Medicago truncatula: one gene and its partner. The protein of the gene in region 2 interacts with the protein of the main gene of each other region in a pairwise test. Links are inferred from orthologs where the notes say so. Each region holds a gene or a part of one and is shown on either strand. Other genes may lie near its edges.

Region 1 (7,403 bases), on a different chromosome or scaffold from region 2:
AAAGGGATAGAATGAAGGCACTGTACACCTCAATTCCTAACATTGCCATGTTCGATAAGAGTTCTACGACCAGCTTTCACTCTATTGGAGGCACTGTACACCTAATGGTACAACTTTTTTTCTTTGGTGGATCATTCAGCTACGAGTATATATGAGCTTGTAGTCATTTTCATGGTCTAATTCTCAATGTAAATATTAATTGTTAAGATTTAATCACATGAAAAGAGTCTAACCCAAAAGACTAATTTGTTAGGTGAAGAGTATTGTGGCTTAAATACGACATTGAACGATTTTATCTATTTATTATAGGATTCGTATCAAACTATTGTTTCTTCCTTTTCTATCACATTTTTAACATGTGCGAACTGCGAAGCAGCTGAGATATGTGTAGGGATAATAAAGATAGAAAAAATGAAGGATCAATATTAGTTGGCTTTGAGTTTTAGTAAATTTGTAACTTTGTCTATGAGTGCTTTTGATTTTATATGTTGAAACACAAAAATGGTATTTTGGTATTTTTTATAATGTGTCCTCTCCAAAAGAAAAAGAAAAAGTTTTTCCATCGTTTAGTGAGGGATAAAAATTCTTGTTTTTGTCTAGTCCCTTGCTATCTATTTTGTTTAATGATTAGTTTCTAAATCAAACAAAGTACATAAAAGTTGTACAGTCCAGTCTTTTGATTTTTAAGAAGTCAAACGTGCCATATATGACTCTCTAAACTATTCATTTTCTCTAGTTTAAAAATTCATTTTGATCATTTATCTACTTACTAAATATATTAAGGTTACCAAAGTCACCAAATCGTAAAGGTAGCCAATCAATTTATAAAAAAAAAAACGGAGAGATGGTAAAGAGTGATATAATAAAAAACGAAGAAGGGTGAGTTTTGTTTTTTTGTCAAAAGAAGAAGAGAGAGATAGAATGAAATTAAGAAATGAGGTTTAAAGAAATTAAATTTTTATATTTGAAATGTGTGTACAGTACCCCTTTTTTTTTTTTTTGAAGGAATGTGTGTACAGTACCTGTTCTTAAATTAAGTTTGGGTCTAACAAAGAGGACGAGCCCAAACCGAAGAAACGAGACTTTATAAAAGGATAAAGGGTAGAGATATCGTAGACATGACACATTCTTAAATACTAGGTTATTCATTTGATTGGGGCAACCACTAGCCCTTGACGACAACGGTAACCTGGACTTGTGCTCTTGACAACAACACTTACAAATGAACCAACCATTGAAGGTCGCAAGTGTGTATTAAAAAGTTTGTTTAAAATATCCTTAGTTGAAAAGAAAATCAAATACAACAAGTTGATTATGCTATCAAATTTATTGAGAGTGTTGTATTAAATAACTTTAAATCTTTTATTATAGGTAAATGCTATTTTTTTCCTTCAAATAGGTAGATGTTAGTAATTAATTAATTGAGAATATGTCATTCTAGTAAAAAGTTATATTTTCATTTTAAAAAGAAATTAACTTTCATTCACAAATATACATCCTTAAAATTCACTTGTTTTCAAAAAAAAAAAATTGGACAACTTTTATTTTTTGCTAAGCCTGAAAAACTTTTATATCATTTTCCAAAAATGTTGCAGCATTTCAAATTCCTAACACCACAAAAATACGTTATAGAGTAAACGATGTCTTTAACTTATAAACTCATCTTCAGCCATTATCTTATCTAATATAATACCAATGATAAATAGAGACACCCATTAAAAGTAAAACCTCCAGTTTGCATATCATTATTGACTGGATACTGAATTTGTTAAATCTTTAACACAGGCACAATTGATAGTGTTTAAGGAATGGGCTTTATTTAGTGTTCAACCTTGATGTTTTTTAGGGTCCAAAAATTTGAAACAACGAATTTGCTTATAAACACGCCTTACCTTCTCTATGTACACTACTTTCATTCACTATTAATCTTGTCCTAACCCTTAAAAATATAGCTATAGACTACTTGTTTTTTTGAAAAAGAGTTATATAGACTACTAATACGGGAGGGGACTGTGTATTTCTATTAATCTTGTTATAACAGTACTTAAATATAGTTATAGACTACTTTTATTTTTAGAGTTATAGACTACTGATTGGGATGATGATTATTTGTGTTATTAAGGAAGCTGTACGTACTCTTCCTATATTATTAACCTAATTCACTAACATGTACTCCATCCGATTTCAATTATAAACAAAAGTTTACTTTTTCATTAAAAATTTGATGCAATGTAATACATTTTTGTGTTAATTTACTTTTTACATTTTCAGTTTTAAAACAACAAAACATAATGTATGTTTGGTTCAGTTATGACAAAACTTTATTTTGAATAAATTGATTTTATAAAATTGATTATGACTAAAAGTAAATTTAAGATAAAATTATTTAAATTTGGATACATTCAGGTAAAATCAATTTAAGGTAAACAACAAATTTTATAATCAAAAGCTTCAAATTAGAATGAATTTGGGAGACAAAATCAATTCAACTCTAGAAAAACCTAACATATCAAAAAATTAATTATATATCTCTAGAACCAGTTTTAATTCCTTCAAAAGTAGAATCAAACATGCACTTAAATTGTTTTGAGAAACAATTTTTAAAAAGAAGGCAACAAAACATGTTTATAATTTTCAAATTTTAAAAAATAGAAAATGGTTGCTGCAAGAATTTACTTCCTAATCGTATACTAGGTCCTTAAAATGTTTTGTACGGACATATTGTTGATGCAAGAATTTACTTGCAGATGCACCAGATAAGCAACTTGTTGCTGCAACTGCAAGAATCTGTGATGCACCCTTCAAATATTATTCTATGTTATGACACACATCCGCAAGCTTCAATATTGGAGCTGTGTAGGCCACTTTGTTCAGATTTGGACATGTCAGTGACAAATATACATCTAAAATATGAATCTGTTTTGAATATTCTAGTTAGTTTGCAATTACTTGACATCATCTTCCAATTTTAAAATGGATTTTGCTAATACTTACGTGAGCATTGGCATGTTTGAATGTAGTCAGAGGCAGTAATATATAGTTGTAAATTAGCTTTGCACAAGAGGAACTTACGATGACGTGGGTCATATCTCTTATTCCCGTGTTCTTATCCGTACGTAGACCGTGGTTGCCACACTCTTAACAAATATGGTAAAGCTTATATCATGCATTTGTGAGGAGTCCACACGCATTTCCCAGTTTTGTAGTATCTTGATTGACCAATCACCATGATTTTTTTTTATTTTATTTCAGGATTGATCAATTCAAACATGAACATCTCAACAAGACAACAAACCATTTTGAAACTATTATGTTGTTTGACGAAAGAAATGTAGTTAAAATGTATAAAACGGGGATAGAACCCCGGATGCAAACCTCAAAGGTGCGCTCTTTACCACTAGACGACATCATACATATGCAGGCACCGACCCAAGTGGAAGTTTATGTGTGCCATGACCCTCACGATGTTTTGATTTTTTTTTTAATTTATTACTTAATTCTCTCTAAATTTTATTAAGACCCCCACACATAAAAACCAATATACTAATATTTAATACATTAAAAGTCAGTTCTGTAAAAAAAATATACATTAAAAGTCGGTCTTCTTTCAAAAAAAAAAAATACATTAAAAGTAGATCTCTTGTCTATGTTATGAATATTATAAAAAATTATACGTTAAATCATACAAAAAATGAATGATTAAAGTATTGTTTGATTATTTTTATTCAAAGTGATATTTTCATTGACATCGAATATGAATAAATCGGTTAGTATTTATATAATATGAAAAACAACATAGAACAATTACGATGCATATTTATGTTTTAAAAATTAAAATATTATATATCGATCTGTCCCAAATTTACATATATATGTGGCCTAGACCACTCAAAATTTCAGGGTCATGTGACATAGATGTGCAAATATATATATAGACACATATATATACCCTCTATTTGATTAAAAATATGTATATATACCATTAAAAATGAAAGTTTTGAGATTTTTGGGAGGCCATGGCTTTCCTATATCCCCACATAGCTCTGCCCATGCTGTCAAGCATGTGTCCCATAGGTAACTTGTTCATGTTGTGAATTAATGGAAAATAACTTTAAATGGGAAAGTTAGTCTTCAAAATTTTAAAACTATGATAATTATTAATTTATTAACATTTGTATATATAAAAAATTAACAAGTATTCAGATATTATTTTGAAAAATTCAAAAATTAGGAAAGTATTAAAAAATTAATTTAGTTGATAAAAATAATAACAAAATTTTGATAATTATTTAATGTTTTTCAATCAACTCGTTATATTTATCCTTCAAATAAATCAACTCATTATATTAATATGATAAAAGATTATATTTATAATTAATCAATTAGAATGGTGGTAATCTCCTAAACTTATCTGAACTAATTCTTATACATAAAATATCACTAACAACCATTTAGACGACATCATCTAGTTTGTCTTATTTTTCTTTAAAAAAAGAAAGAAATTGATCCCTTGACCAAAAAAAAAGAAAAAAAAGAAAGAAATTGATCCAATAGAATTTCAATAAAATGGAAGGAAAAAAAAGGAAAAGACAAAGAACACGTGCTGAAGTGATTAGAGATAGATGATCGAAGCGAATGAACATGACTCTGCCACGCGCCTTCGTGTGACAGGTATCCTCCCGCCACACTCCTTTCTCATAAAATAACCAATCCTCTTTTCTCTCTCCTCTGCCCTAATTCTAATTTCAAATTAAATTAAAATCTCTTTCATTTTCATTTCTCGATTCCAAATCAAACTTCTTCATCCTTCAACCTTGATTCATACTTCAATCAACATATTCTAATTCCATTCCTTCTGATTATTCTTCCACGAACCAGGTTGGTGAGCCAAAAAAAATCACTTTTTTTTTTTTTATGATTAGATCGTTTTCTGTTTGATCCATTGAATTTCATGTTATGGAAATTAAAGTTAGGTACTTTGGCTTATTATAATCCTAAATTGATTGAATCTGGAAGCATGGGTTTTATTTACTTTGTCACTAGTAGTGAAAAATTAAAATGAAAATATTCAGATTTTTCATATTCCTTTTATTTCATTTATTGGGTCCTTGTTTTTTTTATCAGTATCGTTTAGGGTGTAAATTGAAGTAATTTTGTTTTTGTACTTTAGGAAAATTGTTGCTGAAGAATTGAAGACAGGGATAGCTGGTTTTGTTCATATGGGATCGGAGAGTGTTGCTCCTATGATTGAGCCATCAAATAACAGGTTAGAGATTCAGAAATTGTTTTTTTTGTTAATACAGTATATTGAACTTCCATTCTTTCACTGTTTTCCTTTGAAGAAGTTTTCTGAAATGATGTGATAAATTTGATTTATTTACTTGGTTTGGGTATGAATACTGAATATATAACTATCTATTTGTTTTCTTTGATTGAATTTTGAAGCTGTTAATAACTTCATCTGGCAGTAATTGTTACTACTACTTGTCGCAAAATCACGAATTTTAGATTTAGCCATAACTGCTTAGAAGTAGCAGTGATGGTAGTGACAGTGATAGTAGTAGTCATGATACCAATAGCATAGTTTTTGTGGAACAACATATTTGGTTTTGGACTCAATATGTGTACGCTTGATTGACCTCAGGTCTGATCCTGGTACAATGAAGCAAGGGAAAGTCCCTAAGAGAATTCACAAGGCCGAAAGGGAGAAAATGAAGCGTGAACATTTGAACGAACTCTTCCTTGATCTTGCCAATGCTCTTGGTAACTTCTTATGCCTCTGTTATTTTTCTTTAGTCGCATCACTATGTTCAAATTTTACTGTTTACCTGCTTGCTCCATTCGATATGACAGTTATGTTTTATATTTACTTTGTCTTGCTGTACCATATCTGATATGTTGCTCGAATTTGACTTTACGTGCATGTTCCCCCCCTTTTCTTTTGGTGTTTTGGTGGTGATGGGGATAGATCTCAGTGAGCCGAACAATGGAAAGGCTTCAATATTGATCGAAGCTTCTAGACTGCTAAAAGACTTGCTCTGTCAGATCCAGTCCCTCAAGAAAGAGAATGTCTCTTTATTGTCTGAATCTCATTATGTAAGATTGGCACTTTTTTCCCTCCTTTGATCCCATCATTTTACCCTGTTGAGAATACTGCATGTTGAATTTTGATGTTTATGTGGAAAAGCTTTTATTGTTTGCTAGTTTACTTGAAATCCATTCCGTTTGTGTTACAGCATTCTGGCCAGTTACTTACTTGAGCCGATTAGCAATACGTCACAATTTGATGTCACAAATCAACACACTATTTGACCTGCGTGTAATTCATGTGATTGGCTTAATTGGACAGGTGACCATGGAGAAAAATGAGCTAAAGGAGGAGAATAGTAGCCTAGAAACTCAAATTGAGAAGCTTCAAGGCGAGATACAGGCAAGAATAGCTCAATCTAAACCTGACTTGAATGCGCCTCCTCAATTAGAGCTTGAGTCACCAGAGCAGACAACTTTTTCAGGACAGAGTTTCCAATTGCCTACCGTAGATCCTACCTTGCAGCAAGGACCTACTGTTTTAGTCGTCCCCTTTCGTCCCGATCTTCAAGCTGCTTACCCAGCTCCTACTGAGATCACGCCAAACCCTCCACTTGTTATCAGTAAACCTCATGCCAGGTATCCCACACCAGCAGATTCATGGCCATCACAACTGCTTGGAGAGCAACCAACTTCTAGCTAAACATGTTAATTTGTAGAGTTCTAGTTTATGTATTGCTATAACCAGCCAATTACCTTATCTAATTGCAATGCTGGTCTGGAGCTGTGTATAAATTTTATATATTCAATGATCTTAGAAAATTTTACTCAATTCTATTGTGCCTTAGTTGTGAGTTGAGCTAGTTCGACTTCTTTTTATTTTTTTCTTTTCCATGAGCTGAGCTGAAAAGATGTAGCCTATGATCTTGGCAGTTGGTGAAGATCATATGGTTGAGATTTCAAGTTTCCAATTTGCCATAGTTAGGATGTGAGTCATCATTTGTTCTGGATCCAACTGATTGATTGGTTGCAGGAATTATTGACTGCAATGAAAAAAAGATCCTTGGTTTTGTGGAGATTATTTTATTGTGCTTTTCCTTGGGACCGTGTCTGATGATTGAGCCACAGAAATGAGTGGATTCGTCTATTCTAGTTCTGGGATGAAATCTTGTCTTGACACTTCTTTTTGGTAAGATTTTAAAGGGAAGTGACTGAACAATGAACATGGGAAAAAAGTCACCTTTAATTTCGTTTTTTCGTTTTCAACACATAGGGATAGAAGAAACTGGTCAACTTTTTATCTCTACTTTGGTAGAATGGATTCCGATTATGATTGAATGGGAAATGCATTATCTTGGCAAAATTTTTGTTGGAGT
Region 2 (6,806 bases):
CCTAGTCCCATCCAAAATTGTTCTTGTTCTTGTAATAATAATAGTAAAAGAAAAAAAAAACAAATTGGTTTTGAATTGGAGTTTGAGTTTATCCTATAGGCTATTGAAATAGTTATTCTATGTGTTGGTGATGATACAAATAATTTATTAATAATAATTTGTTTTAAAAAAGTTTAAGCCCCACATTACTCTTTTTTTTAACAAACTAAAATGAGATATATATTATGAACAATGGCGATTTACCGTGCACAAGACATGCAAAAGGTAAACCGATTAACCAAGATACAGTAGTAAGGTGCTATTTTAGAAGAGCACCATAAAAAAGTTACAGAAAATTACACAATAACACCCATGCAAGGAATTGGGTGTTTCCACCAGTCATAATAAGAATAAATAAAAGATGTATGCGATGCTTTCAGCCACATAAAAGAGTTCAGCTTCACTTTTTCAGCTAAAGAAGAAGGATCACAAACCGTTTCTTGGAACACATGGTTATTTCTTTCCTTCCAAATAGCCCAAACATAAGCGAACCAGATTACTTTCAGGAAATAATGAGTGGCTCTAGGCAATCCGACCAAATTAGAGAATTGTGTAAAATGCCGCCGAATATCACCTGGAAACACCACAAATAAGCCTAACCAATGCAAAATATGATCCCAATGCGTACTAAAAATATTACAGATGCAAAACAAGTGATTTGTGGTTTTATAAGCACCGCAACCTGACACACAAACCGAGTCTGCTATCAGAAGAACTCGCCGATGAACCAAGTTGTCTCTAGTAGGAAGTCTATTTCGGAAAAGGCGCCACACAAATACTGACACCTTAGTGGGTATGCTCTTATGCCAAACATCTTCAACCAGAGTCCTATTCCCAGCGTTACCATTATCAGTGAGAAAGCGATATGCTTCCCGTACCGTGTAACCACGGGAAGGATCTATCAACCAAATCCAAGAATCATGAACATTAACCTGCAAAATGACATTAGAAAGTAACATAGAACATTCCTTCACACTTTCCTCCTCCCACGCCATTAATCTTCGCCTCCACGCCCACCCCCCACCTCCAACCTCCCAACCTTCCCTACTCATATCCTCCACCGTACACTCCTTGCTCACAGACAAATAAAAAAGGCGGGGGAATTTACAACATAAAGGTGTATCCCCAACCAATTATCATACCAAAATAAAGTATTCCCCACATTACTTTTTAATAGAGATCTTAGAAGTCTGCTCACTTGAGATTGGGTTAAGGATAGTGATTTCAAGAAAAATTCTCCGATTGTTAAATCTTTTGATACAATGTGAGTAATTGGATGTGATAATTCTTGTCAATTTTAGTTTCATGAAAGATCACGAGTTTATATATAATTTTGAGAATCCAGTAAATGGTACGAGCATAAGAGGTGAAACATGTTTGAGTTAAGTACCACGAAATCTACCCCCTTGTGTAAGAAAAACAAGTTCAATTGTCTTATTTAACATTTTCCAAAACAAATACATCAGCTCATTCAATAGCAAGATGCGAGCTTAGTGTTAATCAAAGTTTGGACAAAATAGTGAAATTAGATAAACTCATAATTTTAAGTGAGTTCGCCTTTTTTTTCTCGCCCAATTTTTATTTTACTTTGAGCTCATAAGCTCATTCAAAAAAAAAAAAAAACTAAAATTGTTTATTTTTTGAAAAAAAAAAAACTAAAATTGTTGGTAATTTTAATATTTAATAATTACATCAAATTTGTTATTCTTCAAATTAAAATTGAAAAGGATCTTTTATATATTAGGTCAAATACCCAGTGATCATTTTAAGTTAGATGTTTGTAATAAGTTAATCTTTTAATTATTTTTTGTTAGAAATTATTTCTTTAATTATTTTCTTCTAACATATCAGTCATTTAAATCTTCACCAAAAAAAAAATATCAGTCATTTAAATCATAAAGTATTTTTATTGTTATCCATTTTCATCCAACTTTGTTAAAAATTGCTTATGATCCCATTTAACATTGAGATGACAATTCCAAAAGTGTTTACGAACCTACCACAAAGAATGGGTTTCATCTTATACCGAACATCTGAGCGGTGGATACCACATTGTTTTGAAAAATCAGTCACATGTTATGCTCCTTCAAATGATCCATATACACGTCAACCAAATATTTTGAAAATAATGACGAATTTCCTTATATTAAGATCAATATTTGCAGTTAATTATTCTTATAATCTTCATTAAGAATTATGTGGTTTTAAAAAATCAATGATTTTTCAACTAAAATATTCTTCAACATTTTGTTGAAAACCCAAAATCATAATTTGTTGAAGCAAACCTATCTGAAATATGAATCATTCACTATTTCTTTCACGTATCCTATGATGTATACTCTTCTACAAAGATACACACACATGCACACAAAACATGCTTTCGATACATTGACTATTGTGACTTTTCGATTTCAGATCTTTGTCAATGCTGTCTTTTTTCTATTATGTTTTGTTTTCTTTATTTTGTTTGATTTCTTTCCAATGAATATAAGTTGTAGTTTGTCATTAAACTTTCTTAGTCTAAAAGCACAACAATTTCCTTATCATTTTCTACATGATGTCATTTCTTATCTTAATCTCTTACGGCAAAGGGAATTCCCACATTGATGTATCTTTTGGGCTATCTTATAATTTCTTACTTTTTAATTTTGTTTTTTCATAATGATTTTCAGTTTTTCTGATATATTATATTCTACTGTTTTGGCTAAGTGTGTGATATTTCGTGTTCTATCATCAGTCTCGATGGACCATTTTTTGTTTTTTCTTTTTCTTTCCATTAAATATAGGGTTTTGTTAATTTATGTTCTTTCAGTACATGCTACGAAATTTAAATGTAATATTTTTATATCAAAAATAAAAATGTTTATACTTTAAAAAATTTAAGTGCACGATTTATGAGACAAAAGTATTATTCTCCTAAGATGGCAATATACTAGCAAATTTGTTAAGAACATCCTTTAACAAAACTCTCCTTAGATGTATGATCAATTAAATGCATTCAACCTTAGATGTATGGCCAATACTTTAATTTCTTGTAGGAAGTTCGTGTCAAAAAAACAATCTTGTAAGAAGTTGTATACGTGTCATTTCTTGATAAAAAAAGTATAAATTAGTATCTCACTCATTTAAAGCAAAAACCATTCATACATGGGACTATTTAATCAAAATAATTCAAAGTTGTTAGCTTGATAAAAAAAAGTATAAATTAGTATCTCACTCATGTAAAGCAAAAACTATTTATACAAAATAATTCAAAGTTGTTAGCTTGATAAATATAATATTATAAATTCTCTCAAAAAAAATATAATATAATAAATTAATATCTCACTCATGTAAAAGCAAAACTATTTATACATGGAAATGTTATTTATAAAAATAATTCAAAGTTGTTAGGTGAGATATTATTAATTCCTGGAATTGATCGGGTGGTAAAAATAACTTTGAACGGATGCATAATTCCTTTATCCTAAATTATTTCTATTAAAAGAACATTGTGAATTTTTTTTCAAAAATGTATTTTGACATTTGATACTATATTTTGATTTTCTCTTGTACATTATAGTGTAAGTAGTCATTTTCGTCTATAAATGTGTAACGAATAGTCACAATAATCTGTGTATCGAAGTTCTAAAATAGTTTTTGATTGTATATTCCGTCAGTTAAAACAGTCTCTGACCTAGAAATTATTTTTTTTGATGCTCATAGTAACTCTTTTCTTACAGAAATTGTATAACATAATGTAAATACCTATATGGATTGATACGACAATATTAGATTTAGCCGATCATTTTAATGTCAGAGATTATTTTGACTAACATATTGCACAGTCAGATAATATTTGGAAATTTCGACGAATTGAGAGACTATTGTAATATTCATTACACATTATGACTATTTACCCTACATTATATTTTGATATTATTTTATTTTGCTTTGCATATCAAATCATCTTAATTAATTGTTCGACGTAGAAGATATCCAATTCGAACTAAGACAAAAATCAAATCACTTTTTAATGGTGGTCGGGGTTCGAACCCCAAACCTTGACAAAAATCAAATCGCAAATAACTCTAAATGTATTCCATACGCTATGCAAAATCTGTTTTTTATGTAAAACTAACACTCCTCTTCTTTTTTTACTATACAAGTAGCATTATGTTTTTAACTCCATTGTGTCGCACAAAAACTATACCATATTGACTTTCACACATACAAGATCATAAAAAATGCATGAGATCATATAAGAAAAAAGATTTATCCAAATATAAAAAAAACCTATATACAAAAAATATTTACATAAAAAAGAATCATTTCCCTTATCCTTCAAATAGTTCATGCCATCATCAATTAATCATGCAAGAAAGAATCTTATCAAGTTCCATACTCTTTTTCTTCATTTTTTTTTCTTCTTTTCATCCTCTTCCTATCCTTCACTCTCTTTTTAACAATTGTTTTGTGTAGTTTGCCAAACAAGTGTATAACATTGACCAAAACCCTCCTAACATTAACCCCATAAGAATGGACCCATCACATGGATTAGTCCTTATCATAGTGGGTCCAATAGCGATCACCGTAGATTTCTTTCCATGTAATATCATATAAGACGGTATCATAAGGGTCCCATCCTTCTATATCACTGGTTACTACCTCCCTCTATGTCCTACATTTAATAACAACCCTTTCACTCTTCATTCAATCTCAACACTCTCTTTGTGCTATATATATTCACACACTTTCATTCTCGCATTCAAATTCTATACCAAATCTAAATCATCTTCCTTATCCATTACCTTCAATTTCTTCATTCATGGCTAAAGAAAATTCTACAAACATTGATCTCACTCTTGGAGAGCCGAAAGAAGAACCGGAAATAGAAGATGTATCGGCGATAAAAGTTATGCCGATGACCATGCACGTGCCACCGGGGATACCTATGTCCATGCAAGTGAACAAAGCCTTGGTTCAAGCCCAAGCCCAAGCTCAAGCTCAAACCCAGGCCCAAGCTCAAGCTCAAGCCCAACAAACAATTCAAAAGAGATCATCTACAAAAGACCGTCACACAAAAGTCGAGGGTCGAGGCCGAAGGATCCGAATGCCTGCCACATGTGCAGCTCGGATCTTTCAGCTGACCCGAGAACTCGGACATAAGTCCGATGGCGAAACAATACGCTGGCTCCTCGAACACGCGGAGCCAGCTATCATTGCCGCCACCGGTACCGGCACAGTCCCAGCCATCGCCATGTCAGTCAACGGAACACTAAAAATCCCCACCACTTCCCCAACCAAAAACCCTAACCAAGAACCAAACCAACAATCCGATGAATCACCTGAGAAAAAGAAACGTAAACGACCATCAAACAGTGCTTACGTAGATATAAACGACACCACTGTTTCTGTTTCATCCGGTTTAATAACAACCTCAAACATAAACACAAACACAAACCTAAACCTAATTCCTCAACAACCCACAATTCAGTTACCACAAAACATGGTTCCTGTTTGGGCTATACCATCAAACGCTGTTGTACCAAACGGAAACACTTTTTTCGTTGTTCCAACAAATCAACCACAGTTTTTTACATTGGCTAGACCAATAACCGGTTTTGTTTCTTCCATGGTTACACCAGTTATTCAAGTTCAACAAGCTTCATGTTCTTTATCTCCTTCAACAAAGTCTCCAGCTAGAGCCACCGTGATGGCTCCAAGCACGGCGGCAACAACCACTACTCAGATGTTAAGGGATTTTTCATTGGAGATTTATGATAGACAAGAGCTTCAGTTATTATCAAGGTCTTCTTCGAAGCATTGATAGAACCATAGAACCAGAGAACGTTGAATTTGGTTAACGATGTTGTTTGAAAAGAGAAGAGCACGTGGGCACGTGAGTGGGGAAGGGGAAATGGTGGGGTCCATGTATGTGTGGGTCAACTAGAAAAGTGGGGGGAATGTGGGGCCCAGTATTGGTGGTGCTGGCTTCTTGAACCGTGCAATGGGGGGTACTAGTAGTACTGTTATTATTCTACTCTACAGCTGCCAAAATTTAATTTTTGGATGTGTAATAAGAATATTATCAATTAAAATTAGAATAAAAATAACCGTTATTCATGGTTTTATAAAGGTTTTATTCTTGATTTTAAGTTAGTATCCCTTGAAGTTATGTAATTAGTGTACTACTTAAAATCAGTTACAAAAATGTTCTTTAAGAATGTATTAATACTATGTAATTTTTTTGGTGTAAATTAGATATCATTTGTGCATGCAACTGTGGAGACTAATTTTTTGAGTCTTGTAAAATTTAAATAGATGATTTTTTTTTGAAAATCTCCTCTAAATCAGTAGTATAGTTATTGAAATCATGAGCATCATCTTGTAGGTTCTAGATTAAGTAGTAGTTTCAGGTCCCATAGCTATTGTTCTTGATACCGGATTTTGCGCATTGCTTGAAATAAGTTTTTATAAGATCTTTATCAACCAAAAATTTTGACTTTCGATTTTTAACGTTGATGCATGGTCAAGACTCAATTCAAACTTAGAATTTAATTAAACTAAAAGAAACTCGTGATATATCATCTACGCGTTTTTAGGTTAATATCGATAATTTTATTAATTATTTTGTTGTACGTATCTCTATTTTATTTTTTGGTTTATTTATTGGTGAAAATGGATATGGGTCCACCTCTTATTGTGGTCATGTGAGGGTGGGTGAGGGACCCAAGGGAGGAATGGCCTAATGGGTGGACCCAAAACGGGACCCTTTTTGCACACTT

What was found. The genes of interacting proteins can lie anywhere in the genome.
Region 1: the proteins of transcription factor TCP9 (region 2) and transcription factor bHLH47 interact in binary tests that used the Arabidopsis thaliana proteins (3 or more experiments, as listed by UniProt). The link is inferred for Medicago truncatula from reciprocal best matches to the Arabidopsis thaliana genes TCP9 and PYE.

Annotation. Positions count from the first base shown.
Region 1 is NC_053045.1:52,936,183-52,943,585, reverse strand, and holds transcription factor bHLH47, read left to right. Parts: upstream 1-4,672; 5' UTR 4,673-4,878; intron 4,879-5,170; 5' UTR 5,171-5,219; coding exon 5,220-5,266; intron 5,267-5,644; coding exon 5,645-5,763; intron 5,764-5,968; coding exon 5,969-6,096; intron 6,097-6,349; coding exon 6,350-6,730; 3' UTR 6,731-6,881; downstream 6,882-7,403.
Region 2 is NC_053049.1:13,108,509-13,115,314, forward strand, and holds transcription factor TCP9, read left to right. Parts: upstream 1-4,700; 5' UTR 4,701-4,846; coding exon 4,847-5,848; 3' UTR 5,849-6,278; downstream 6,279-6,806. Other genes in the region: uncharacterized protein, read right to left, coding at 336-613, 722-1,034.